Lonchura striata: one gene and its partners. Each later gene encodes a partner of the first gene's protein in a complex. Links are inferred from orthologs where the notes say so. Each region holds a gene or a part of one and is shown in the gene's direction. Other genes may lie near its edges.

Region 1 (7,950 bases):
CCATCTCCCGCGGCACGGCCGGCCCCGCCCCGGCCCGCCCCGCCGGCCGCCGGTGCCGCGGGCCCCCCGCGCTGCCCGCGCTGCCCGCGCCGGCGGCGCGGCCCCGCCCTCACCTCACGGTGCCGGTGCAGCGGAGGCGCCGCGGGCCCCCGGCCTGGCGCTCCCCGCGCGGCCCCGCCCCCGGGCCCGCCCCGCGCCCGCGCGGCCCCGCCCCCCGGGCCCGCCCCCCTCCCGGTGGTGTGATCGGGGTTACCTCGGGTCGGGCCCCGCGCGCGCCCCGCCCCGCGCGCGCCCCGCCTCCCCGCCGCTCCCATTGGCTGCCGCCCGGGGCCGCGGCGAGGGGGCGTGACCAATGGGGAGGAGCGGCGGGGGCGGGGCCTGTGGGGCGATGCCCGTGGCCTGAGCGCCGGGCGGGGCCGCGCCCGGGCTCGAACCCGCGACCCCCGGGACCCCGGGACCGCCGGGACCGCCGGGACCCCCGGGACAGCCGGGGCAGCCGGGATCCCCGGGACCGCCGGGATCCCCGGGACACCCGGGACACCCGGGATCCCCGGGACCCCCGGGACACCCGGGACACCCGGGACAGCCGGGGCAGCCGGGATCCCCGGGACCCCCGGGACAGCCGGGATCCCCGGGACCCCCGGGACCGCCGGGATCCCCGGGACCCCCGGGACCCCCGGGACAGCCGGGGCAGCCGGGATCCCCGGGACCCCGGGACCGCCGGGACACCCGGGACAGCCGGGACCCCCGGGACAGCCTGGACCCCCGGGACAGCCGGGATCCCCGGGACCCCCGGGATCCCCGGGACACCCGGGATCCCCGGGACCCCCGCGACCCCGGGACCGCCGGAACACCCGGGACCCCCGGGACAGCCGGGGCAGCCAGGACCCCCGGGACCTCGGAACCCCCGGGACAGCCGGGACACCCGAGACCCCCGGGACAGCCTGGACCCCCGGAACAGCTGAGACCCCCGCGAGCCCCGGAACAGCCGGGGCAGCCGGGATCCCCGCGACCCCGGGACAGCCAAGACCCCTGGGACAGCCGGGACCCCCGGGCCAGCCGGGAATCCCAGGACCCCCAGGACCAGAGCATCGCTGCTGGGAGGGAAACCCTCCGAGGGGGCTGTGCCTGCTGAGCCTGGAGGCGAGGTGCCCCAAGGGGCCCCCCGGCGCCCATCGGTGTCTGTGGTGGGGGGCCAAGCTGCACCGGGCTCTTCTCGGTGGCACCAACAGCACAAGAGCAATCAGGCAGGACCCGCCGCACACCTGAACACGAGGCAGGGCTCTGCTGCGCAGGTGGCAGGGCACGGGAGCAGAGAGCAGGCAGGAGAGGAGTGCCCTGCTGCAGATCCAGCAGGCCCGTGCCGTGCGCTGCCCGCGCTGCCCGCGGGGACACCGGCCTGTCCCCGGGCACTGCCAGGGAGCACAGGCTGATAACAGGTGCTGAGGGCACGGCCAAGCAGGGCTGGCACTGCCACTGCCCCTCCTGCTCCTCTCTGACCTTCAGCTGCTCCTTCTGCCGACGGACAATGGGTTAAAGAACTACCCCGCTAGCCTTTTTCCACGTTTTTGTGTTTTATTTGAGCTCCGAGCTGTTACAGGGCTGCTGAAGTACAAATGGAACGGGTAACACAAGTTTAAGTGCTCGATGTGGTGACCTGTGCAGGCTGATCCTGCAGGGACCCCAAGGATCCACTGTTCCCAAATACAGAGAATTTCCACCAAGGCGGTGGTTAGAAGGTGTGAGACTGCAGGAAACTGCACCTGGTGGCATGGGTGCCCACTGCAGGCAAGAAATACCCAGAAAAGCCAATTTGGGGGCTTGTAGTTAATAAAATTATTGGGGGAACAGACCATATTCTCACATCCACTTGGACCAAATCTGGAAACTTTGGGCAGGAACACTTTTATTTATACTGCTGTAGAGATAAATACATAGATATAGATGTGTATTTCACACAAACAACCCTCCTCTGAGTGCTTCAGGAAGGAGCTGAAGAGAAGGTTTTGGGTGTTAATTAATGGTCTCCAGTGCTAAATCCCAGCTGCTGCAGAAGTGAGGGGGAGTGATTGGCTTGCTGAGGGGCTGGTCCCAAACCACTGATAATAACTACACACAGAACTTACCAAACCAGGAGGTTACAACAGCTGCTGAGTTCATCCTGGCTGCTGTTCCCAGAGCTCCAGGCCTGCTAAAACCTGCACCTGCACTCTGCCTGCCCAGCCCAGCGCATCCATCCAGCTGCAAACACTGTCCAAACACTGCTGGGGGAGGGATTGCTTCACACACTGAAATCCTGCAGCACCTCCTCCATTCAAGGGCAAAGAGAGGCATGAACACGTGGAAAAGAGCAAGTTAAAGACATTCACCCCAAAAGTCCAGCACGGATTTGGAAGGAGCATTTTTGGGCTATGGAGATGGCGAAGGGTCTGGAGGGGAAGGCATGTGAGGAGAGGCTGGGGGCACGTGGAATGATCAGCTGGAGGAAAGTGAGGCTGATCCTTGTGGGTCCCTTCCAACTGAGGAGATTCCATGAAATTAAACTACTCTGGGCTGGGTGAGAAGCCAGGTTGGACTCAATGATCTGGGAGGTCTGTTCCAACATAACGATCCTGGGATTCAAGTCTGGGCAGGAATAATCTGCGTTTTAATTGTTTCACAGGGTTCAAACAACTTTCCAGTTGTTGTCTTTTAAATGTTTGAATCATACCCACGTTCTGCTTTGGAGGGGGGCTGGTAAATGCACCTGACATCCTTTTCTTGTCCCTCTCCAAAGCTGGACACGGTTATTTACTCTCATTCCATGACTCCCAAGCATGTGCACTGTGAACTCGTGCCACTGCGTTCTCTCAAAAACAGGAAGCTTAGCCTTAGTAAATAAACTCCAAAACACACAGGGGAAATGTTTTTACCTCTCGTGACGCCAAGTGCTGGTTCCACCTCTCCTGACCATTCTCTGATGACACCCCCAGTGCAAACACAGGACAGATCATCCCGGGTGAGGGGGTCGGTGACACTGCCAGCCTGGCACCACTCGTGTCCTGGCAGCCAAGGAACGGAGAGAAAGGTCAGATCACTTTTTAAAGCAAAACACCAGCCCTCGAGGCTCCATTGGCTCTTGTTTTCAACATAAACATTTTCATTTAAGTAACATCAGCGCTTTTGAGAAAGCGTTGTGGGTTCTCTGGAGCCTCGGCCGCTGGGAAATGTCAGCGGTTATTTGGGATTGAACAGAAATGGTTCATCCTTCCATTCCCGGGGGCACACAGCACGTGTGGTGACCGAGCAAGCCCCAAGCTCCGGAGGAAAAGGCGATTCCCATCGCCACCGTGTGTCCGAGGCAGAAAACGCCGACGCCACAAAAAAACTCCACCCAACAGCGCCCAGAAATCCCACCAAGGGCAGGGAGAGGCCTGAAAATGCTCCCACTGATTTCTGCCCCAAAACCACTGTTTCACCTGGGGCTCAGCCTGCACTCCCGCACTGGGCTGCAGGCGAGCAGAAATTACCAGCAAATAATCTCAAACAGCAAATGAAAATTGCTTCATTTGCTAAAACCTCTGAGTAGCAGCGTGTGAGCACTTAGTTCATTCCAGAATATCCCCTTGGATCTTCCTGGAGTGCAGTTTTGGGAGCTGAGCTGAGACCCTTTGGAGCCGTTTCACACGTGCCATGGAGCAGCCATGGGCTGGGGGCACCTTCAGGGCTCTGCTGAGCTGGAAACCACTGGAGCAGGCTCCAGAAAAAAAGATTTTTCCTGTCACTGCTCCCTCCAGGAGCCATCAGGAGGCTGTGGTTTTGGAGACACCGTGTCACTAAAACATTGGCCTGAAAATCCTGTAAGACTCCACGGATTTTCAATGTTCCTCATAAATATTTTTTCACTCCCATGCCAGGGGCATAACAGGAAAACCCTCAACACTGAAATATCTGAAGTCCACGGAAAGCTGCAGGATTCAGGACAGCATTCTTACCTTGCAGATGCATCACCTTTCCTGGGAACAGCAGGAACCAGATTCCCACATGCTGATTCCTTCCATTAACCACCCAGAGTCCTAATTCCCAGATGCAGGAAAAACCTGTTAGCAGAAGCAATAAACATTTAATTGACATTCCGTACATTTGCCTCTCCCAAATCCTCAATTTTTTTTCCCATTTTTTGCACGTGCCTGGGCAAAAGAAAAAGGGAATAACTGCCAGCATTTTTAATCTTGTTGGTAAATAGTTCAGACAAGGAGCATGGATGGACGAGGAGGAATGGCTTCAGGCTGCCAGAGGCCAGGGTTAGATGGAATATCGGGAAGGAGATGTGGGGAGACCCTGGCACAGGCTGCACATCCCTGGCAGTGTCCAAGGGCAGCGGAATCCGTCCCTGCCATGGCAGGGGTGGCACTGGGTGATGCTGAAGTTCCTCCCCACGCACACCACTCCGGGATTCCCCGTTACATCCAGCTCTAATCCCCCGCAGGACCAGTTCCTCCCGTAGCTGCTTCACACGGCAGTGCCACGGGAGCCCTTTCCCCGTGGAAATCCGCCCTTCGCCACCCCGAGGGCCGGGCAGCGCCAGGAGCCGGGGAGGCTGCGGGAAGGAGCGGGGCTCCGGTGACCGAGCCGCCCCGGGAAGGAGCGGGGCTCCGGTGATGGGCGGTCAGAGGGGTCCGGGGCTGTTCCCCGCGGGACCCCGGGCGGCAGCGGCACCGGCCGTGCGAGCCCGGTTCCTGCCCAGCCCCGGTGCCGGTGCCGGTGCCGGTGCCGGTGCCGGTGCCGGTGCCGGTGCCGGTGCCGGTGCCGGTGCCGGTGCCGGTGCCGGTCCCGGCCCGGTTCGCTCCCGGTCCCCCTCGCCCCGCTCGGGGCGGCGCGGCCCCTGCGGCGCGCGCCGGTCCCGCCAGGGGGCGCGCGCCCCGCCCCGGCGCGTGCGCACGGCGGGCCCGGGAGCGCGCGCGCGCGCGCGGGCCCGACCCGGCGCGCCGAGCGAGGTGAGAGGCGAGCCCCGGCTCCCCCCCCCCACCACCCCCGGCTCCCCGCGCCGCCCCCAGCGGGCCGCACCGGGACCGGGACCGGGCCGGGCCGGGCCGGGGGCAGCGCGCAGAGCGGGGCTCGGGCAGCGGGGGGGGCGCCGGGAGCGCGCGGGCCGCGGCGGGGCCGGAGGGGGCGGGGCCGGGCGGGGGCGCCGCCTGGCGGTGACGGGGAGAGGGACAGGCGGGGCGGGAGAGGAATTGGGGACGGGAGCGGGAATGGGAATACTGGGATAGGGATATGGGGATGGGAATGGGAATGGGGATATGGGGATGGGAACGGGAATGGGAATATGGGAACGGGAATATGGCAATGGGGATATGGGGATAGGGATATGGGGATGGGAATGGGGAGATGGGGATGGAAATGGGAATGGGGATATGGGGATGGGAACGGGAATGGGAATATGGGAACGGGAATATGGCAATGGGGATATGGGGATGGGAATGGGGATATGGGGATGGAAATGGGAATGGGGATATGGGGATGGGAACGGGAATGGGAATATGGGAACGGGAATATGGCAATGGGGATATGGGGATGGGAATGGGGAGATGGGGATGGAAATGGGAATGGGGATATGGGGATGGGAACGGGAATGGGAATATGGGAACGGGAATATGGCAATGGGGATATGGGGATAGGGATATGGGGATGGGGATATGGGGATGGAAATGGGAATGGGGATATGGGGATGGGAACGGGAATGGGAATATGGGAACGGGAATATGGCAATGGGGATATTGGGATAGGGATATGGGGATGGGAATGGGGATATGGGGATGGGAACGGGGGTAGGAACGGGGATGGTAACGGGAATGGGGATATGGAGATATGGGGATGGGAATGGGATTGGGATGGAGATGGGATTGGGAATGGGGATGGGAATGGGGATGGGATTGGGATGGGAATATGGGGATATGGAGATGGGATGGGTATGGGGATATGGGGATGAGAACAGGGATGTGGATATGGGGATGGAGATGGGGATATGGGGGAGTGGGAATTGGGATATGGTCGAGTGAGGACTGGGAATGCGAATGAGAATAGGAACTGGGATGTGAGGAGTGGAATATGGGGAAGTGGGATATGGGGAATGGGGATTGGGATGTGAGGGACTCAGAACTGGGACGGGCAGTGGGATGCGGGGAGTGCCTCTGGGAGGTGCAGAGCACTTCCCTGCGCAGCAGCTGCTCATAACTCTGCTCGCTTCGGGGTGACATCCCCACCACCCCACACCTCCTGTCGGATTCCCCCCACAGCCAGAGCAGGGACTCTGATCCGTGTGGAGTGGGCTCTGACGGCTGCTGAAGCCCTTCTGCTTGCTGCTCAGGACATCCTGGGAGGATCAGAGCCGCGAGGGCTGTGGGAGAGGCAGAATTCCCTTTGGGATAATTCCCTTTGGTGTGGGACAAGGCTGACGCTCCTGGCGCGTTTCCCAGCCGGGTTTTACCCAGGGAGCAGGCAGCGCCGGGGGAGGGATGGAGCGCCTGGCCTCCTTCAGCAGTAAGTGCCTTCAGAGAATCCAGCTCCCACGTCTGCTCCTGGAAAACCTGCACGGCACAAGGATTCCTTGGAGCAGTGGGATTTCGGTGTCACTGTCCCAGAAAGGGGCCAAAAACTGAGCGAATGTGGCACTCTGGGGACGTGGTGTAGTGCTCACAAAAATTATTCGGTCTGACTTTTGCCTTATTTTTCTCTACTTATAATTGAACTGATTCAAAACCATTTTCTTGGAAAAAGTCAGAATCATGGAATCCCAGACTGGTTTGGGTTGGAAGAAACCTCAGAGCCCACCCAGTGCCACCCCTGCCATGGCAGGGACACCTTCCACTGTCCCAGGGTGCTTCAAGCCCTGTCCAACCTGGCCTTGGATACTTCCAGGGATCCAGGGGCAGCCACAGCTCCTCTGGGCATCCTCACCACCCTCCTAGGGAAGGGTTTCTTCCCAGTTCTCCAATCTAACCCTGCTCTCTTTGAGTTTGAAGCCATTATAACCTGACAGTCATATTAATTTCGTTGCACAACTGAGTTCATTTAAAATCCATAGAATCACAGAACATCCTGAGCTGGGCCCACAAGAACCATCAGCAGCCGGGGCTGGGCACAGGGGGATTTAGGGGCTGCCAAAGCAGTGCTGTGCTTGTGTGACAGGAGATTTCCTGTGGTTTTCCCAGGTGACCCTTTTGATAAGCCCCCGTGCCGAGGCTGCTCCTCGTACCTGACGGAGCCCTACGTGAAGTGTGCTGAGTGTGGGCCCCCTCCCTTCCTGCTGTGCCTGCAGGTGAGAAAGCAAAACCATTGAGAGACTCCCAAGTCACAAACACAGGTTATTAGGAAAAGGGAAAAGAAACAAAATCCATGCAATAACACAAAAGGAAAACCACTGGCAGAGTCAGAACACAACCTGACACCCTTTTGGACAGCGTGTTGGTGGCAGTCCAAATTGGAGTGGCTGCAGTCCCTGGAGTGGCAGGGGTGGTTCTGTCAGAGCAGGGATCCTGTAGAAGGATGGAGTCTTCCTCTGAAGCTCCAGTGGAAAACCCCAGCTGTTCCTTTTGGGAATCTATTAGAAAAACCTGTGTTGGTGTTCCAAAAACACAGATTATATCCAGGTAGGAATGCTTGGCTCCTCCCTCTGGGTGGAGCATCTCACAATGGGATGTTTTAACTCAGTAGCCCATTATCAGCAGATGTCTCCCCTGAGAGAGGATTGGTTGTGGAAGAAAGAAGGAAAACTGCCCAATGAACAGAAGGCAATGCCATAGAGATGGCAATAGAGCACGTCTTGCCTTTCAATCTGGGATAGGGTCCAGCAGCAGGGCACAGCTCTCACTGCCCCGAGGGAGCCAGCCAGGGCTGTCCCAGTCACCTCTGCTCTCTCCAGCAGGGACCAGCCCACCCGGGACAGGGAAATGACAAAGGGGGTTGGAG
Region 2 (7,359 bases), on another chromosome or scaffold:
GGGCTGGGGATGGAGCAATTCTGTCTTCAGAGCACGAAAAACTGGCAAACACGGGTCTTAAGGCCACACACTGAACAATGAGAAGAAACCAAACAATTGAAAAGCAGCTTTCTCCAGCTGCTTCTCTCATGCACTTCGGGATTTCTGGGTGAGGAGAGCGCAGAACCGGTGGTCTTCCCTCGACAAAACCAGAAATGTTTCTTGCACGCACAAGCAACCTCCTTTTGTTGGCGCTGGCCGGCAGGAAGCTCCAGCGAGCATCCCCGCCGGGAACAGCCCGGGAGACACGGCACAGCTGGGCACACAATCCCAGCGGCGCTGGGAAACAAAGGCCCGCTTTCAGCAGCCCATGGCAGAGCTTCTGGCCAGCAGGGTGCGGGTGCCCGGCCCCGGAGCGGCATCTCCAGGGAGCAGCACACCCAGGGAGCGGCGCACCCAGGCAGCGCCATCTCCAGGGAGCCGCTGCCCGGCGCCGCCGCGCATCGGCGCTCGGCTGCTCCGGCCTGCTCGCCGCGCTCGGCGCTCGGCCGGGGGCGGGGCGCGCCGCCTCACGCCGTCCGCGTCCCCGCCCGCCCGGCGCTTCCCCCGCCGGCCATGTCGCGGGGCTCCCGCCTGGCGCTGGCCGTCTCCGCGCTGCTCTCCGCCGCCACCGTGGCGGCCGTGCACATCCAGCAGCGCCGGGAGCTGGAGGTGAGTGCGCGCCGCGGGCCGCGGGGGGGAGGCGGCGAGCGGGGCCCTGCCCCGGCCCTGGCTGCGGCCCCGCCCCTCACCTGCCGGCCCGCCGGGCCCCGCCCCACCTGCGGGCGCACGCGGAGCCCCGCCCGCCGCCGGGCCCCGCGCCTGAGCCCGCCTGGCCCTCACCCCTCCATCCCTCCCCGCAGCTCCTTGGGGGGCTGCGGGCTCTGTGTGGGCCCAGCCCGGCTCCCAGAGGCCGGAGCTGCCCCTGCCCAGCGCTGCCTCGCTGGTGCTGCCTCGGCTGCACTGCTCCCCATGGTGCTCCCTCCACAAGCCACCCCTTCTCCGCGTTTTCCTGCCTTGGTGCCTGTGCTTTTAGCTCTACCAGCTCTACCAGCTCCCTAATGCTGTCCTGTGCGTTTCTCTTCGGGGGCAAACAGGAGCCAGGAGCTCCAGGTGAGGCTCTCTGGAGGTGCTTCCTCTCTCCAGCAGCCAGCATACAGGGGAGGGGGGATGTGATCTTGCAGCCTCCAGCCAGTGCCACCCCCCCGGCAGTGTTCCCAGTGCTCTCCCCTGGCTGTGGCTGTGCTGTCCCACCGGTGTGCCCTGTTCTTCCTCAGCCCCACAAATGCACCCTGCTGGACGACAGACAGCCCTGTGCTGTGCCGTGCCCCTGCTCCCCTCTTGTTCTGCCAGGGCAGGCACAGTGCAAGCTGTCAGAAGCACCACGAGATAATTGATCAGGGCGGTTCTCTCTGCTATATTTACAAAAATCAGGGAATTCCTGGCAGGTAGCCTGTGTGCCAGAGAGCCCTCAGCCAAAAGGTGTCAGGTGACCATGGTGAGTCCTGAAGCAGAGCAGTCCTGCCTGGGACTAAAAGCTGTGTGGCTGTGTAAAGCTGTGCTGTGTGGGCAGTGAGTGCGCTGGTTTGGACCCTGCTGATGAGCCCAGGGTTATATGAGGGCACACATCTGATCCTTCTCCACTTACATCTAGAAAATGCACACAGAAACAGCCTGTGTTTAATGACACTGAGGCAATCAGAAGTTACAGAACACCAGAGTTCAACCTCCCAATCCATAGCCCAGCTCAGCTGGCTGTTGCTTGGCCTTTATGATACATTCTATAATTAGAGGATTATATTTTCTCCCCCCCCCGAGAGATTGTCTCTATCAGTGCTTGAGAGGGATGGAATTTGAAGGATGAGACTGGTCTGGGTAAGGAAAGAGGCAGGTTTGTGTGAGCAGGAGTTGGAGAACACTCTGGATTATTGGGATAGTGGGGATCCTGGAGTGGTCACCAGCAATGGCTCTGCACTTGACAGAGCTGATGGATGTGCTGGGTAGATCACCTAACATATTTTAGGTAGATCACATCACATTTTTGTAGCTGGCTGCTCTCTAATTCAATGTGCCTGCCTTGAGGCACTGAGGATCTGGCAGGAATAGCTGCTAAAGGCTCCTAAACTAAACTAAACTAAACTGCAATTAATGGCAGCTGTACTTTGAACATGTGCTGCACAATAAACATCACCCTTGGGTGTTTCAGTGGGACACCTAAACTTCCTGGATCTTTTTGACCCAAATCCTTGGCTAATACCTATTCAGAAGGGTCAAGGCTCAAAGTTTATGTTTTGTAAATTAAATCAGATATTTTCTTTTTATAATTATTTGTGGCCAAGTCAAACAGTAGTGGCTTCATGTTCAACAGATCCAGTTATTTAGGTAACATCATGGAAATAAATATTGTGGATGTTTTACACTCCCGGTGTAGAGATTATTTCAAGTTTATCTTTACGCAGATTAATAAACGTTTGACTTTTATTAATTGATGTGCCAGGCCCAGAGTGATTGAAGCTTGCTTTTCATGCCTGCAGAAGACAAGCAGGGCTAACTTCCAAGAGTAGAGGAAGATGAGGAGATTAACTTTTTCATAGGTCTTTGTCGCTTGTGGCACTCAAATTCTAAAGGTGTCTTTTGCAAAGTGTGCATTTTCAAAGGAAATACATCCACCACCTGAAAGATTGCAGTGTTTAGTGAAGGAAAAAGGATTGCATTCTTGGTGCAGTTGATCAGTTACTTTGTATCTCCACACATGTTTATTGCTATTAACTAATAGTAATGTAATAATGAGTTCATGAACTTTGTGTTCAGTTTCAAATTATTGATTCGCAGTAATCCGTAATTACAGTAATTCGTAGCCTGAATTCAGTTGGTGGAAGCTGGTGGAAAGGAATTGGTTTTATTAGATTAAATTCTGGAGAGTTTTGATTACTGGCTGACATATGTGTCTGTGCATTTTCTTAAGATAAAATTATTTATTAAAACGTTTCTGTTTTGATCTTGACAGGAGAAATGATTGCATTTTAAGTGTGCAGTCATTGGCATGCTAGGTCAGGAATAAAGCTGGGTGATAACTTGTCAAATAATAGCCACAGACATCCTCTCAAGTGACTTCAGGGTCAGCTTTCAAATAAAGTATTTGCAGGAGCATTTTGGCATCATTCAAATGGGTCAAATAAATTATTGATCTTTCACCTAATTATCAAAGTATTGATGTGAGTAAAAATATCTAGGTAAGAGAGAGAAGCATATGGAGGAAGCAGCTGGGATTTTCATAGTGCTTTTTACACCCATTGAGAGGTTGAAAGCTGCTGGTGTTGTGTTGCACGTTATGTATGTATTTATATATGTGTTATATATTTACATGATTTATAACAAACATTTTAGGTAATGGGGATATTTGTGAAGCAAGTGCCTTGCTTTTTCAAGAGTTTGGCACAAGCAGTCTGTGGGTATTTTTTTAAGATTAAGAATGAGCAGAAAGAAGCAAATGAAGACACATGCCAGTTTTTCTTAAAATAGTTTCCAATTTGTCACAAAATTGCCTCCAAGCAGAGAAGTTTTGAGCTTATTCTGATTTGGTAAAGTTTTAGGTCAGAGATGACATGATTTTTTCGATCACATCCATCCTGCATGACACGGGAATTACAGGCTCCTAGCATTTATTTGCTAAAAGTTGTGTCACTTAGTAAACCAAACCATTCGAAGTGAGCATAAGTAAAGCACATATTGGTGTAGCGATCCTGGATATTGGCTCCCGAAGATTCCAAGTACGTTGAGTTGCTGTGGGAAAGCCCCTGCCCAGGCAGCAGAGGGAACAGCCTTGCGGGAGGGGGAGCTTGGGTAGGGTTGGTCCCGATCAGCATTCCCCGGGCTGTGATAAACCCTGTCCTTTGTGTTTCCAGAGGCTGCGAAGTGGCGTGGTCAGAGATCTCGAGCGTCAGAATCAGAAAAAGGAGAACGTTCGCCTGTTAGAAGAGCAGATTGCTCTGACAAAGCAGCTCATTGAAGAGAGAGACAAGGCGCTAATGGAGAAACCTTCCCAGCAGTCCTAGGCGGGGCCTGGCGCCTTAGAGGTTTGATTAAAGACGTCTGAAGGTCATTTGCATCTCACTTCTGGCCGATGTTTTAACAAACAGAGGTAATCTGTGAAGGACTGGTTGTTTTGTATAAATTATAATCCAGCCTCTGCAGCTTTAAGGCAGACAAAAACCCATTTCGTCCGTGATTGGTACTTGGACTGTGGAGGCTTGGCCCGCATCCGAAGCTGGGGAGGAAGAGCCCATCGTTGGGCAGGCTCCCTCTAGGATGGCCAACAACGTTCACATGAGTGGGCTGCTCAGCCGCCACGACGATGAAGCCACCAGGACCTCCACCTCCGAGGGCCTGGAGGAGGGCGAGGTGGAAGGGGAGACTCTCCTGATTGTGGAGTCCGAGGACCAGGCTTCCGTGGATTTATCGCACGACCAGAGCGGGGACTCCCTGAACAGCGACGAGGGTGAAGCGTCCTGGATGGAGGAGATGTCCTATTACTGTGAGAAGTGCCAGAAGTGGATCCCAGCAAGTAAGGCTGCCCGTTGTGTTCTTTTTATAATTCTTCATGGCCAAGTCAAGCAGTAGTGGCTTCATGTTCAACAGATCCAGTTATTTAGGTAACATCATGGAAATAAATATTGTGGATGTTTTACACTCCCGGTGTAGAGATTATTTCAAGTTTATCTCTATGCAAATTAATAAACGTTTGACTTTTATTAATTGATGTGCCAGGCCCAGAGTGATTGAAGCTTGCACATGCCTTTCATGCCTGCAGAAGACAAGCAGGGCTAACTTCCAAGAGTAGAGGAAGATGAGGAGATTAACTTTTTCATAGGTCTTTGTCACTTGTGGCACTCAAATTCTAAAGGTGTCTTTTGCAAAGTGTGCATTTTCAAAGGAAATACATCCACCACCTGAAAGATTGCAGTGTTTAGTGAAGGAAAAAGGATTGCATTCTTGGTGCAGTTGATCAGTTACTTTGTATCTCCACACATGTTTATTGCTATTAACTAATAGTAATGTAATAATGAGTTTATGAACTTTGTGTTCAGTTTCAAATTATTGATTCGCAGTAATCCGTAATTACAGTAATTCGTAGCCTGAATTCAGTTGGTGGAAGCTGGTGGGAAGGAATTGGTTTTATTAGATTAAATTCTGGAGAGTTTTGATTATTGGCTGACGTATGTGTCTGTGCATTTTCTTAACAAAAAGTGGGTGTTTGCAAGGTGTTTGTGCTGTCCTGTTTCGCAGCTTATTAGGCTGTTCCCTGTCCTGCTCCTGCTTTGGTGGGTGATGCTTGCTGGCAGGGGCTGTGTTAGACACTTCAGTCCAGGAGCTGTGTGTGCCCAAAGCTGGTGCTCTCTCTGAGGAAGTCAAACTGTCTTCTTTAATTAATAGAGAACATTAAAGTTCAGAAACGTGCCCACCCTTACAATTCTTGCAGCTTTTTAGGGGCTTGGGCCAATCGACCTGACCTCTGCTCACAAATAATGACCCTTGCTGTAAAGCTCTGGGGAGGAAAAGGACTTTGTGTGTTACTTTTTCCCCTCCCTGTTGATTTGTCACATCTGTGGAGTTTATGGCTGAATCTCAATCTTAATGTTTTCCCAATAATCTGAATTTAAATTGGCTTAGAAACTTGCCCAGCCTTCAGCAGCCAGCTCTGGGGGGTGTTAGGAGCAAGCCGCAGAATTTGGTGCCTCTCATCTGGCACTTGACAAAAATATATATGCTGTTAGCAGTGTAATAGACAACTTTACATTCTAAGTTCTGGATTATCTGATCTATTATTACATCCAAGAGCCAGATATTGCTAAACACCAGTTGGCTTTGGTTTTAGTGGGGTTTTTTTGTTTGGTTTGATTTTGTGGTTTTGTGGGGTTGTTTTTTTGTTTTTGGTTAGAAATAACGAGCTGTTTAGGTGGCACCTGTCTCGCAGATATGTCAGAGCTGCCCTTTTTGCCTTCTTAGAATTTGCCAAAATTTATAGTGTAAAAATCTCCTCTCAAGGCATGTTAGTAAATGTTTTGGTGTTAATGTAATGAAACCAGCACCAGACTATTAAATTACTATGCAGTAAAAGGAAATATTAGCTTGAAATGTATTAATAAAAAAATGAAGCAGTTAAATGTAGCATGAGCTCTCTTGTGCTGGAGCACTTGATTTAACACTCATCTTGTTTTATTTTACAAATATGTTCCTCTCTGCAGTTGCTGTGGAACAAATGCAAGGAGCAGAAAAGGCCAGTTACAAAGCAATGGTAGCCACATTTACATATGTACAGAGTAAATGAGCTGTCAAAGGGAGATACTGTGCTCTTTCCTAATAATTCAGTTCTAGGGTGTTCAGTTGTCTCATGTGAAAATGGCCAATGTGCTCAGGCAAATAATCACTTTTTTAATTAGAATTGCCATTTAGAAATTATCTTAATCTACCAAGTGTTGGGAGTTTTTCCTCCATGAGATGCAGTTGCAACTTGAATTCTGCAATTCAGTATGGAAGCAGGGTATCCATATTTTAAAAATAACACAGTAAAAGAGATTACATCCTTGTAGAGAAACATCTTTTGAGTGTGACTTTCCAGAGACGCTCTAGTCTTAACCTTGTTTCCCTGTCCTCAGATGTAATTTTCAATTGTTCATGTCTGTGTAAACTCCTGGTGAGTTTAGAAGCCTGATTCATATAATCATTTTTCCTCTGCTGTAGAAACATGGAATTAGAGCCTGTAACTTTGGGTGCTTGGGGGTTTACAGGTGATTCTGTCATTTTTGTTCAGACAAACCTGATCTTGGAAGAAATCCAAATTTCCTTTGCAGCACTTATTCCTATAAAAGGGCCAAAAGTTTGATTTTTTTAACCTTTTCATTTTAGGTCAACTGAGAGAACAGCTCAGCTACCTCAAAGGAGATAACTTTTTCAGATTTACTTGCTCTGATTGCTCAGAAGATGGGAAGGAGCAATTTGAACGTCTGAGATTAACATGGCAACAAGTAAGTGAAATGTTTGTGCCAGTAGAACAGCCGTGGGACTTTCTGAAATTGTTGGTTGTTGTGTATATGCTACCTGGAAAAGGAGGCTTGGGTATTGGTAACAAAGGAACATTTGAATGAAATTCAGAAATTAATTAGCTGAGGATTGCCTGCACATGAGAACTTCAGCATTTGGCAAGGAAATTGAAAGATAATCAGACAAACCACATTCCTTTTCTTCTTTTTTTTTTTTTTTTCCTTCCCCTTATGTTGCTTGTGAATTCATGGCTTCAAGCAGGTTTGGAAAAGCAAAATAAATGCAATTTGGCTTCTAGGT
Region 3 (7,135 bases), on another chromosome or scaffold:
ACCCACTATAAAAATCTCTGTATTGCATTTTATTATTATATAGTGGCGGGATCTTAAATCATGTAACACTAACAGCTTGAAAAAGAAAATCCATGTTCTGGCAATTCCCCTATCTCTTTCAGCTACTTCTAGTATTATAATTAGAAACAAAGAAACCTATGCAGGATTTGGTCCAGAAAGTAATGACTTTTGTTACCATCCATTAATTAATTTTCTTACTATCTGGTAAGTCCTTGTGAATAAATCACCCTTGGATTCCACGGCTGTGAGACAGCAGGTAACAACTGCACTCACTTATGTCATGAATTAAGTTACAGCACTTCTCTGAAAATTGAACTATGCAGATTTCTATCACTATATGTGGATGGGTAGAAGGAGCAGGGCAGCAGTAATGCAGTATGGATTGCCTTTGCAGAAAGTACTGTTACATACTGTTTGCTAGTGCAACTTTTCAATGTTCTTTTTGGAGAACAATTGAGGGTGTATTTTCCTTGGAGGACAGAAAACAACCAGTTAACCTCTTTTTTTTTTTTTGAACAGGTTAAGTTTGATTGAACCAGGCCCAGTGGTTACAGAGTTTGAAAGAAAAGTGTTTGAAGATGGAATGAAAATGGATCTTTCAGCTGCAGATAAAGAAACAGCTGAGATGTTTACTAACATTTACCTTAAAAATTACAAACAAATTTTTCAGAGCCTGGGACAAAGTGCTGAAGATGTTGCAGAGGTAACTCATAAAAAATTCATCTTTTGTTGTTGTTGTTTTCTTCCCTTTGTAATTTATGAATACAGTGGTTGGCTGGTGGGTTTTTCTGGTAGAAGCATTCAGATTAATTAAATGTACACAATTAAAAAGTTTTTTTAAAAATTCAAAAGAATTTTCAGAGTCTTTAAACAAAAGTCTACAAAATACTAAAAGAATGTTCATTTTGAATTATTGAAGATAACTATGAATTGTAATTTAAATACTACTCAGATATTGGATGCCCTTTACATCCTCTGGTGAAGTCTGAATATTCTGCATTGTTACCATACATCCACCCAGGGTTCCCAGTACTGGTAAAGCTCTGTCCTTTCCACCTCACTCATAATCCCTCCACTAAGGGAAGTTCACACAGCCACCCCAGGCCACCAAGGCACAATAAAAGAAACTTGGATGTTTCTGATGTTTGAAGCTTCCTGCAGGAAGACAAGTTTAGGCCACCTGTGGGAGGGGATGATGATTTCAGGTGTTTGCTAGAAGGAGTATCTTTAGTGTCAACTGATGATTCCCAGATCTTGGTGTCAAAGGCACAGTCCTGTCCCTTTAGCAGTGAACTGCAAAAGAGAGGATCTACCTACTGTGGGCATATAAGCCCACAATCATTTGGAAGACTACTCAGGATACTAAATTGTCAGATGCTATTGCCATGGTATAGAGAAACAGAAGAATAAATAAGAAATACTTCTTATGGCCTTTGAATATTTCAAGAAGAATTTCTAATGATGGTTTAGTAAAACTATACAGGGTTTTACATAATTCTAGCACTTTATTCTTCTACTTTTCCACTGAAAACTGGGTTTTTACTTTACTGTCTTGGTAAAGGTTCTTTTAAAATTCTGTTTCTCCTTCTCTACAGCATACAGTAAAGATAATTCTTGCAGAAAATCCACCTTTTCGCCATCAGACCAACACCTTGTATACTCCAATGACAACTCTGAAGTACGCAGATCCAAATGGAGATCTACCCATTGACATATTCTACAAAATGGTTTTTCAGCATGACAAAATCTTCAGTGCAAGTCTCAACTTCATCAAATTGCTACGGTGGAGAAGCAGAAAGAGCTTTGACCTGGGAAAACCTTCACAATAAGTATGAGATTATATAGTGCAAATTGGAATTATTTTTTGTAGCTACTGATGACACAGTATGTTGTTATTCAAATGCCTTTGGTCTGTAATTAAGAAAATGCATGCAAGGTACTTGTTTGAGCTTAGCTAAGATATTCATTTCAATGTGTATCTCTTGAATGTTACTGTTTGCAGACCCTTGCAATTAAAATCCTCTAACTGTAGTTTTATTCTGTTTAGTGTTTTGCTTTTTCCAGAGATGTTTTCTTAGGAACACGAACACTGACTGATATTTGTGTATTCAATATTAACCTGACCTCCTTCACTTACTTGAATATAATACACACTGAGAAGTGTACAGTATGCAGATGATTTAGATTCTTAATATCATAAAAATATGTTTTTACTTATTAGGATAGAATCAGTATTGTAATTGGTCAATTACACTGCCATTCTCATTTCCAGAAGTCGGATCTATTTATCAGCAACATAAAAGAAAGTCTCATCAATCTTAAAATGTGACTAGTAGAATATTTATTATTAATATATTTTTATTATAATATTCTAAATGCTTCCTTTATATGCAGTGGTTACTAGCATATTGCACTTAGCAAGCAATAAAATGTTTTTTTAAAGCATCTTAAAATAAAATATCTTCTTACTGTCTGGGTACTACTTTTTGAAAACAAAGAATTGTCAGTAATAAGTAATCTCAATCCACTGAATTCCTTCAGTACCTTCGGTGTCTGATACAGAACCCTCTTGTTCCAAGCTATCCTAATAAGTACGTGTTAAACCAAAATTCTGTCATGTAGAGCGGATCTTTTCCCTTGCTTTTTCTCAGCCTAGTGCTCCAGGTGGTTTGAGGCCAAGGTTTGAGGGGAGCCTGGCTGCAGTGCTATTGCTGAGCCTGTCGTTGCTGTTCCCTGACCGCAGCAGAGGCCGAGTGACCCTCGGGCCTCCAGGCTGCAGCTTCCCAGCACATTCCACCCACAGAGCCCAGCTTTCCTTCAATACCGTCTCAGAGAGCCAAAACCTAATTCCGTGCTGCGACTTGCAGCGGCCCCGCCCTGCCTCTCCCCAAAGGAGCTCAAAGTTTCTGCGGCTCCCAAAGACTGCGGCTAATGCAGGGCTTGCTCTGCAGTTGTGACCCTTTTGGTGGGGCCTAGGATGCAGGGGCATGCAGGGGACTGAGGGGACAGGAGCAGCCGCAGCAGCTGCTGTGCACAGCTGGGGGCCCCAAGCAGCCCAGCATCAGCGTGTGGATGAGAGGTGAACAGAAGCAAGCCCGAAAGGAGAGAGCAGGAATTAAATGACAGCAGAGTGCTGCTGGGGCTGAAGGGAGCCTGGCAAATTGCCCCTCTGCAGCTGAGATCTCCTTGCCACCTGCTGAGGGTCAGCACAGGGTACTGGACAGAGACACCCACAGAAGGGCTAGGCCTGCCAGCAGCCCCAGTGTCGCTCAGCTGTGCTTGTCTCTGTCCTGCAGCTCGGGCTGGGCTGCATTCCGGGGCAGTTTTTTCCTTTGCAGCACACAGCAAGACAAGACCAGGGCCGTGGGTTTAGTGAGCCTTTCACAAACACTACCGTGGTCTGGCTAATTCCGTCTCGTGCAACCCTCACACTACTGGCTATGAAGTGAGTGCAAGCAGAAAACACAGTGTAATAGATAGATAGCTGCCGAGTAAAGCCAGCCCTGCCTGCAAGTCGTGAATCAACTGCGGAGGGACGAGCCTGGCGGGGCTGTCAGATCCCCTGCTGCTGCCGGCACCGAGGGGAAAGCCGGGTGTGGCCGGGTGTGGCCGGAGCGCAGCTCCAGGCGGAGGGCGGCGGCTGAAGGACCCCTCGCCGCCGCCCGCACGTGGCAGCGCGGCCTTTCCGGCGCTCCCGGCGGCGGAAGCCGCTCCGGCTTCCGGCGGAAGCGCCGTCCCTCGCAGGCTGAGCCGGGCTCGGAGCGTTTCCGCCTCGCGGCCGCCGCACGGCCGGGCCAGCCGGGGCCAGCGGAGCCGCGCGGGGCTTCCGCCGCTCGCCTCCCCTCACACAGCTCTTAAGGCAGCGGCGCCGGCGGCCGAAGGATGTGGCGGAGGCGGCAGTGGCAGGCGCCGCGGCCGAGGGAGCCCTGAGCCCGAGCAGCGCTTCCCGGCGCCGCGACCCTCCGGCCCGGCAGCGACCCCCGGCCCGGCCCCGCCGTCCCCCGCCCCTCGGCGACGCCGCCCCCGCGGCCCCGCCCGCCCCCGCCGGGTCCCCGCGCCCTGGAGGCTCGCGCGGGCGCCGAGCGCAGCCCGTGAGCCGAGCGCAGCCAGGATGGCCTCGTCGTCCGGCAACGACGACGACCTCACCATCCCCCGGGCTGCCATCAACAAGATGATCAAAGAGACGCTGCCCAACGTCCGCGTGGCGAACGACGCCCGGGAGCTGGTGGTCAACTGCTGCACTGAGTTCATCCACCTCATCTCCTCCGAGGCCAATGAGATCTGCAACAAATCGGAGAAGAAAACGATCTCCCCGGAACACGTCATACAAGGTGAGCTTCCGCGGGTGCTGTGCCGCTGCCGGCCCGGGCACCTGGGAGCCGCTCCTGTCCCGCTGCCGCGTTTTCCCCTCTGGTTGCTTGTAGCTACGCAGAACACAAAAGGCAGGCTCTGGTAAGGGTGTGGAGGAGAAGCGTGTGCTGTCTGGCTTGCCAGTCGCGCTGCAAGAGAGCATGTCTTTGTGTGGTTAGAGCGGCTGCTGGCTGTGCTCAGGACCAGCTCCGGTGTTGTGCCTCAGAGAAGCCTGTGGTGCTGTGAGTGAAGTCGTCAGATCTCTTCCTCGTACCTGGGAAATGAGGTCTGCTTTTTCGAATGGATGTGCAGCGTGTTTCAATAATATGAATTTAGTAAATTTTTTTTTTTTTTTAGTTGGAGATTGATTATGTGGGGCCCAGACTTTATTCCATGGTATTCTTGTCTGGAATCTCTAAAGAGTATATTTCTTTAGGACTGTCCATAGAGTCTCATTGTTTAATGTTGGATCTTCGTATCTGTTTCAGAAAGCATTTAAACGTGACCTATGCCCTTGTATTTTCTGTGCTGTTTACTTGCACTTCTACTTGCTTGAATAAAAGGCGAGTTCTCTCTCTGTCTTGTTGGTTTTTCTTTAAATTCTGTCGCAAATAGGTTTTCTTGCCTCATCCCGAAGTCTGCATTAGGCATCGTTTTTTGTCAGAAGTCACTTGCTTTGCTTCTTAAGCCGGGGTTGTTGATGTCGTTGTTTGCTGCAAACAAATTTATAGCAGCAGTAGTGAAAGAGTTCTTCACTCGGCTGCTTAGTAGAGGTATTAACAGCAGCATTTGTACTACAGCTGTTTTCAGGGCTATGATGGTATCGAGTTCGTTTAAAAAAATCTTGTCGTGATCTGATTTTTTTAAGCAATATTTGCTGTTTGAAGGAAAAAAAAATTACAGAAGAGGTTTAAGTACTTGACTGGGTCATGAACTGCAAAAGAAAATAAGTAGCATGTACGAGCTTTAATATTAAATTAAATGCATGTAAGCTTGCAAGTTTAGCAAAGTAGCTCCATCACAGAAGCCTAGGATGTAAAGTAAAACCTGTGCTTGCACATGGAAGCATACTTTAGGTGTGATGCTCTTTAATACATGGATAGTTTTTTCAAGTCGCCACACAAAATGTTTGAGGTTAGTTCTTAACACAGGACAACGTGTAATCCTTAAGACCGAGGGCAGTAAAGGGTTTATGTATGAAAGTATTTTGTACCCAGTAGTGGTAGTCTGTAGAAAAGAGTTCACCTATTGCTGTCCTAGGCTTTGTGCAGGTTTTTTGGAACAGAAATTGAAACTAAAGTGGGTGTGCATAACATCAGCAGATGGTCCCATGCCAAGTATTTTGCTGGGTTCTGTGTCCTTATGTTATCACATCTCAGAGTTAGAAAAAGTTATTTTCAAATTAAATCTATACTTTGTAGCAAAATATTGCAGTGTATCCATTTTTGTAATGTTTTAGAGATGAATGGATTTTCTGCTGTGCTTATGTTTAAGGAAGTAATTGCTATTAGCTCATTTCCAATGCTGGTCAGCTGGCAGATGATCCTTCTGTGAGGTTTGAGGGTTTTGATTGCCACTTTTGGAAACAGTGATTGTGTGTATAAGTAGAGCATTTCAGCATTTTCATCAATCTTCATACATTCTAGATACTTGCTGTTTTGAATGCCTCTTAATGCAGCAGCGTCATGATAACGATGCTAACAAATGAGGCAGTTGAAATCTGTTGTGGTCGCCCATGTATCTTTTTTGTTCTGAATGCTTAGAAGTCAAATGAGGCTAATGGCCATCACATCACACCTGGCCCAGCCTAAGCACAGGGTGCTGCCAAGAGGAGTCTTTTTGTACTTTCTGAGAGCGGGAGAGTTCAGATTGTATCTGGCAATTGCAGATACAGCTGACCCTGTGGCCTTTGAGAATTTAGGGCAGAGCAGGGTTTCCTCTCAGGTGAGTTTGCTGGCTGACTGGGGTCTACATGGAATTGTTGTGCAGTAAGGTAGGCTGTGGATTGATGTCAAATCTTGTCTCTTCTTTTCATGGACTGTTAGGATACTGACAATGTGTATATTAGCACGTAATTTTAAGAGTCCCACAACTGTTCATGTTTGGGATTTTACTTTGGGAGGTCTTATTTCCTTTGAAAGGAGCATAAAAAATTAAAAGTCTCAGATATTAATGGATTGATTTTATAAAATAAAAGTATTACTAGCTATGTGTCACTGATTACTCAGAGACCTCCACCTTCATGCAGTCATTAAGAGTAGGAGGAAACTGGGAAAAGGATAATTGTGATTTGGTGTTTGTAAATATGAATGGTGCTATCCCAAATGCTGTATTTTGGAATTCAGCTGTTTACATTTGGTGGGATAATTCTAGCCTCAGGAAAATACTAAATTTTAAGTCATCTGGGTAGGATGGTATGTTTAAGACTCAAAAAATAGAAAGGCTTTGAGTTTTGATGAGAGAGCAGCTCTGATAGAGTAGTAGTCACTTGTCCCACATTTTCTCACCATGCTTGTATAAAGGGATTCATAGTCCTTCCATTCATATGTGTTCTGTAAGCCTTGATGTGCTTCAAGAAGATGGTCAACTTTGTAAGTTGTTTCACAGGCAGCAGAATTTTGATGGAGTAGATTTATGATGCATAAATCATTTATGGTTATTCATAGCTTTGTTATATTGAATAACTGTAAAAATCTGTCTTGGTTGTATCACGTGAGGGATTTTAATTTTATTGTTGTGTGTGTCGGTGCTATATTCAATTCAC

What was found.
Region 2: TADA2A (region 1) and KAT14 share a complex: the UniProt entries of both Homo sapiens proteins name them as parts of the ADA2A-containing complex. The link is inferred for Lonchura striata from reciprocal best matches to the Homo sapiens genes TADA2A and KAT14.
Region 3: TADA2A (region 1) and DR1 share a complex: the UniProt entries of both Homo sapiens proteins name them as parts of the ADA2A-containing complex. The link is inferred for Lonchura striata from reciprocal best matches to the Homo sapiens genes TADA2A and DR1.

Annotation. Positions count from the first base shown.
Region 1 is NC_134622.1:10,484,684-10,492,633, forward strand, and holds the start of TADA2A (transcriptional adapter 2-alpha), read left to right. Parts: upstream 1-4,920; 5' UTR 4,921-4,976; intron 4,977-6,278; 5' UTR 6,279-6,497; coding exon 6,498-6,522; intron 6,523-7,193; coding exon 7,194-7,300; intron 7,301-7,950. UniProt on the Homo sapiens protein: Component of the ATAC complex, a complex with histone acetyltransferase activity on histones H3 and H4. Required for the function of some acidic activation domains, which activate transcription from a distant site. Binds double-stranded DNA.
Region 2 is NC_134605.1:22,464,343-22,471,701, reverse strand, and holds the start of KAT14 (cysteine-rich protein 2-binding protein), read left to right. Parts: upstream 1-4,325; 5' UTR 4,326-4,326; coding exon 4,327-4,582; intron 4,583-6,924; coding exon 6,925-7,043; intron 7,044-7,359. Other genes in the region: protein PET117 homolog, mitochondrial, read left to right, coding at 595-690, 3,924-4,073. UniProt on the Homo sapiens protein: Component of the ATAC complex, a complex with histone acetyltransferase activity on histones H3 and H4. May function as a scaffold for the ATAC complex to promote ATAC complex stability. Has also weak histone acetyltransferase activity toward histone H4.
Region 3 is NC_134611.1:20,785,678-20,792,812, forward strand, and holds the start of DR1 (protein Dr1), read left to right. Parts: upstream 1-4,050; 5' UTR 4,051-4,132; coding exon 4,133-4,352; intron 4,353-7,135. Other genes in the region: retinol dehydrogenase 8, read left to right, coding at 541-724, 1,617-1,850. UniProt on the Homo sapiens protein: The association of the DR1/DRAP1 heterodimer with TBP results in a functional repression of both activated and basal transcription of class II genes.